Macaca fascicularis: one gene and its partner. The protein of the gene in region 2 purifies or fractionates together with the protein of the main gene of each other region. This does not show direct contact. Links are inferred from orthologs where the notes say so. Each region holds a gene or a part of one and is shown on either strand. Other genes may lie near its edges.

The links. Proteins that work in one complex are often made in the same cells at the same time.
Region 1: the proteins of PRKAR1A (region 2) and VAPB purify together in Homo sapiens (affinity purification with mass spectrometry; 3 studies listed by BioGRID and IntAct, counting the BioPlex papers as one, with this or other methods). This does not show direct contact. The link is inferred for Macaca fascicularis from reciprocal best matches to the Homo sapiens genes PRKAR1A and VAPB.

What each region holds. Positions count from the first base shown.
Region 1 is NC_088384.1:114,511,510-114,513,851, reverse strand, and holds the end of VAPB (vesicle-associated membrane protein-associated protein B/C), read right to left. Parts: intron 2,001-2,342; coding exon 1,842-2,000; 3' UTR 527-1,841; downstream 1-526. UniProt on the Homo sapiens protein: Endoplasmic reticulum (ER)-anchored protein that mediates the formation of contact sites between the ER and endosomes via interaction with FFAT motif-containing proteins such as STARD3 or WDR44.
Region 2 is NC_088390.1:74,878,014-74,881,674, forward strand, and holds part of PRKAR1A (cAMP-dependent protein kinase type I-alpha regulatory subunit), read left to right. Parts: intron 1-807; coding exon 808-978; intron 979-1,774; coding exon 1,775-1,866; intron 1,867-2,065; coding exon 2,066-2,127; intron 2,128-2,973; coding exon 2,974-3,020; intron 3,021-3,661. UniProt on the Homo sapiens protein: Regulatory subunit of the cAMP-dependent protein kinases involved in cAMP signaling in cells.

The DNA of each region.
Region 1 (2,342 bases), on a different chromosome or scaffold from region 2:
CAAAGTCAACTTTTTTCATGAAGACAGGAAGTTCCTTACTCACCAACCACAGACTTCCACTCCTCCTGTTTCAAGGCACCTGACCCAGCTTAACACAGCCAGGCTTAGGAGCAATGTGGCTTGATGTATGTGACTTCTAAGGACTGCCTTCCTTCTGATGAACTTGTCCTCTCAAACCTGTGCACAGTGGGACTGTGCCCAGAACGCCTGTTACTAGTCTCAATGGCATGGTTCCCTGACCTAGAAGCGAGGCTGCTTTTTACTGAAGGCCAAAGCAATGGAAGGCCAAGGGTGACCAGGTGCTCAGCTTTTTCAGCAGTTTTATTTTTCATACTGTCAGCTGAAGACAACCAAAAAAAAAAATATATATATATATATATACACACACACACACGTACATTTAAATCATGAAACACATATTTCCCAGTGATAGAGCTCATTTTAAAGTCAACCTTCCAATGGCAAAATAATAAAAATGATAAAATAATTCCCCCCATAAAGCAAATGTGACAAAATGACAAAAGAATTCTTAATTTTGGGGCTTTATTATAATTTTTCTTTTCAAGATGCTACATAGTCAAACAGAACTGGATTGGTCTTTTATGGCATAAAATTAATTCACAGTCAAACTCTCAACTAGTACTAGAAGGATTAGCTGAAGAGTCTCTCTCTCCCACTGCTCCCCACCCCCAACTGCTGGTGCCCTCGATTCTAACCTTCTGCACCCCGATCCATTCGTCCTGACTCCAAGCTAGGTCCCCAAGGAGAGGTTAGGCTCAGACTTGGGCCTGGGTGCTAAAAGTATGAGTAATGGTTGAGAGGTGGTATAAGAACAATCTAGAATACTGACTACTCTTCATTAAAAAAGGTAACCTAGAGTTGACTGTCACTACAGAGAATTTCCCTCCCTATGACAGTTGTTATTTACTGACCCAGAAAAACACTTCCTGACAGCTCTTCTCCAACATTCCAATAAACCCCACCTCCACATGACCAGACTCTCCAGAGACAGAGGAGCCCACAGACCTCCAGCAGCAATACCAGTTCACCCACCAGAGTTTGGCAGCACACAGCATTAACTGTACTCTTGTGACAATAAGAAAACATGAGATGAAATACATTAAATAAGTTAAATATGCATTAAACATCTCTGAATAACAGTTCAACTTCACTACATGAACCAATAAAAATTTAGCTTGGTCCCTTTAAGAGAACAAAGCACTGCCATTTATTTCCAAAGCGCTGGGTCAATCAGTCAACACACGCCTCTCACTTATGACGAGTACGTCTGATGCTGCCACAGTGCAATTCCTTTGGGCTTCTGACTCTGTTCATCAGTCCCAAGGAGCTGATGGCTTGGACAGAACTGAAGACATGGAAAGCAGCCTGGGCCGGGAGTGGGCCACGTGGGGACTACTGTGTGGAGATGACCTCACTCCCCACCACGCTGGGCTCCAGCTCCCCACGGGCCAGCACCAACAGGCGAGGAAGAGTGTCATTTTAAGAGAGGTAATCCAGCATCATGTACCAAGGCCTACCAATGTTTAAAATGACATTTACAATATGCCATTGTGACATTACTCATGGTTTCCCTTGTCATTAATAAAGATCATTCTTCCCCCCACAATCAGTTACTATACATTTTTAACTTTCTAAAAGATTGTTACATTATATTTGTGTGTGTGTATCTGTGTATGTGTGTGCAGGGAGGGGTAATTTAAAGGCAAGACCTGTGAGATGTCATCATACATTAATTTCTTTTTACACATGGTTATGATAAATTTAAATCCCATGATATGGTGGATCCATCAATCCAATTTACCATCCTGTGCATGCTACCTCTACAAGGCAATCTTCCCAATAATTACACCAACAATAAAGAACAAAACCACCAGAGCCAAGAGCCGGGTGCTAAGGCCTTCTTCCTTCCCAGTTGGGGCTAGCGCTGAAATGGGGCTGTTGCTCTGCACTGTCTTCCTCATCCGCAGTCCATCTTCTTCCTATGGGAGCAAATGCACATTTCAAAGACAAGCCAAGGCACCAGAAAGGGGAGTCAACCGTACAGCTTAACAGGATGGGCTGTTCATGCCCAGTGTTGGCCGACATGATATGGTCCAACCTCATTTTGCAAATGGAGAAACTGCAGGCTACAGAGGGGAAAGGGCTAGCCTGAAGCCACAGAGAAAACAGTCCCCTCTTTTCTTTCATACATTCCACTTGATGCTGCTAGTTATAACAGAAATCTAAACAGGGTGCTCCTTGGTTTCCCATGATTTACAGAAAAAAGTTCTTAAAAGGGTCAACTGGGCCCTTTGCACCCTCAGCCCCACCCACCTTTACGG
Region 2 (3,661 bases):
CTTAATAGTTTATCTTAGGTTTTATTTGAATTGGTCCAATAGGTAGTTTTAAAAACCTAGTAAACTCTTTTTGTCTTTTAACTTCAAGTTTAAACCTTGATTACAAAGAATGATCCTACCTCTGCTGGGAGAAGTATTATAGATAATGATCTTATTTAAATTCATTATTACCATCACATCATTTCATTATTTGTTTTTATCTGGGATCAAACTAGAATGTGAATTCCACAGGCTCAGGACCCTCTCCTATTTGTTTTTATATTCCTGTTGCCTAGCATAGGTCTTGGCATGGCAGATCCAGAAAATGGCTTATTGAGTTGATGAAGTAACTCGGTAATCTAGACATTCTTGGATCACTATGTTGGGCTTGAATTGTTTTTCCTGATAACATTTCGTTTGGCAGGAGGGTCACTTGCTATCTGCAGTAGCATCCAAAAAAACCCAATTTTCAGGATATCGTCTTGCGGTGTGTTACTGTTGTGTGCATCACAGATCATTGTTGTCAAGACATTAATGAATATCTGATTTGTTACTCACATGTGAGTACTAATGGCTTGTACCGGTGGCTTTTGCCCGTTAATAAAGGATAGCATCTGTTATCATCCGAGGTACATTCTCTTGAGAGTGTTTCTTTTTAAGTGTTACTCTCTATTTTTTTCCCCTTTTGGAATCGGTCTTTTCTTCTTAACTTACATTGTTAATGGAAGAAGAGATTGGAAGTGACTGAGATAGACTATCATTGGAACGCGAGAATGCCAGCTTTACATGCTGAAGGATCTCATTTTGCAAACTTGTAATTTCTTTCAGGAGGAGGCAAAACAGATTCAGAATCTGCAGAAAGCAGGCACTCGTACAGACTCAAGGGAGGATGAAATCTCTCCTCCTCCACCCAACCCAGTGGTTAAAGGTCGGAGGCGACGAGGTGCTATCAGCGCTGAGGTCTACACGGAGGAAGATGCCACATCATATGTTAGAAAGGTAGTTTTGATATTTGAACATCAGGGAGATGCTTTTGGGACCCATTTGGTGGTCATCTAGTCTCCTTTGATGAGTGAATCGTAAAATACAAAACGGGGTAGAACTTCATCCATCCTGTATAGTTCTTGGGTACTGGAAAACAGGTTGCTGTAATAGCATGCTGTCAGAGGAAATAACTAATAGTGATTATAAACCAGTGAATAATTGCATTTTGGGGTTTGTTATTTCCTTGCTGCTGTTGTTTTGCAGTAGAAGGAGGTGGGATTTTTTTCTTGAATCATGATGTCTGGTTTTTGCTATCCTGTTAAATGTTGTGACTTTTAACCTTTTATTCTACGAGCTTCATTTGTCCTATATTCTCTTCTTCCTCAGAGCCAGGCTGCTATTTTAATTATGCTGTTAACCTTAAATGGGAACAGAATTGTCGCACTTGAAGCTTATGAAACTAACAGATCACAGACTTTAAAATGACTAATTATTATGAAATGCTTAGTTTTGCCTCAGAATAATGACCTTGGTCAAGGTGTTTTGGTTTGTTTCTTTAGTTGTTAACTGGGAACCAGGTACCAGACTTTATATTTAGGCCTGGCTGTAGGCAAGGGGATTAATTAGTCAATATTTGTTGAGTAGTTTGTGGATCAAAGATAGTACAAGTGTGTTGTAGTGAAAATACTTAACTCGAAGCAGTCTTGTTTAAATACCATAATGTGGCTTGACATTTAATTGAAACACAGGTTGCAAACATGAAATGTTTTTGGTTTATGGAATTGTCATTTGACCTTCAATTCTTTTCTAGGTTATACCAAAAGATTACAAGACGATGGCTGCTTTAGCAAAAGCCATTGAGAAGAATGTGCTGTTTTCACATCTTGATGATAATGAGAGAAGGTAGGAACAGGCTCTTTATTAACATTATTTTTCAAGTAAGGGTGTGATCCCAAATTATTTTCAACACGTGTTGCAAGTTTTAGAACTCTTGATGATTGTTCACCAGATGACAATCAGGGGTCTTTAATACTAAGCTTAATGTTTGAAACTCATGGAAGAGACATGTGAAATGTAACATGAGGCCTTCTCTCTCTCGCAGTGATATTTTTGATGCCATGTTTTCGGTCTCCTTTATCGCAGGAGAAACTGTGATTCAGCAAGGTAAGGGCTTCTGGAGCATGCAGTATTGTTACGGGAGAGGAGGCGAGACTGGAGGATTTTTGTGGTTTTGTTTTATTGAAGTTTGTTTTCCTTGATCCTACCACTTTTTTTTTTTTTCTGTTATGCTATTGGATTTTTCTGTTTCTTTTAAATTAAAATTTTCTGAGATGGACAGAACACTTTTTATTGGGAACTAATATTTTTGATACAGTTTTGTTTATAATTTAAAGGAAATGCCTATATTGTTTTATCTTGAATGTCATATAAAATTTCAGAAGCATATATATCTCTCATGTCCTTTATATTGATTATTAATCACTTTTAAAGTAAGAAATAAATGAAACACCTAAATTCTTCATTGTATAGCTCTGTCTATTAAGAAGGTTCTAGGACTTATATAGATTTCTTACTTTGCCTACATAGACTAACATGGATCTGACTTTTTGACTATCTTCCTGTTTTTATTTTCTTATTTATTCGTGACATTTTATGAATTGTTATATATTTCCATTTTGTGGCAGCCTGATAATTTGCTATTAACTATTTGAGTTGTTTCTAATGTCCTTGTTATAGATGCCATAGCAGTTAATAACTTTGTACACATATGCAGCTTTTAACAGTTTTTTTCAGAGATGGTATTCACCGTGAGATGACTAAAAAAATTTTTGATTAATTCTGTGACTTTTAAAATATATTTTTGATTTTTTTCCCTGAAAGATTGTGTTACTTTGTAACACAGTCTTCTCTCACAGTACCACTATAAAATAAGTTTATTATTTTGTATTAATTTTGATAGTTTGTTTCTTTAGTTTGGAATATGCTTCTAACATTTTTACCCTCTTTTAGGTGATGAAGGGGATAACTTCTATGTGATTGATCAAGGAGAGACGGATGTAAGATTTACTCATATAAAAAATATGTTGATCTTAAAAGCCAATGTATTGATTGCTTCTGAGCAATAAGATTAGTGATTTTGAAGGATCATTACATCCCTTGTATGTCAGATTTTATTAATACCTTTTGCCAAGTATTTTCATGACACAGAGAAATTTTTTAAAGGTAATTTTCTGTTCAGAACTTTTGTTGGAGTGGTGGTTAAGAAGTATGTGTAGCTGGGTGCGGTGACCCATGCCTATAATCCCAGCACTTTGGGAGATGGAGGCAAGAGGGTTGCTTGAGCCCAGGAGTTCAAGACCAGTCTGGGCAACAAAGTAAAACCTCACGTCTTTAAGGAAAAAAAAAAAAAAAAAAAAAAAGGTTCTAGACCCAGCCATTAGCTAGCAAACTTCATACAGCTTTCTTATTCACAGATGAAATGGGGACAATAATAGTATTGATCTTTTAGGATTATTAGAAAATTCAGTGACCTAATGCAAGTAAAATGATTAGCATAGTGCTCACCATGGTTCTCTAAGTATCCATGACTGGTATTAGTGCTTAGCCAACCGTTTCCCCTTACATCCTTACAGAGTGCTTTTTTGTTATCGGATAATTAAATCAAGTAAATTTTTGACACTCAATTTAACTCATCAGA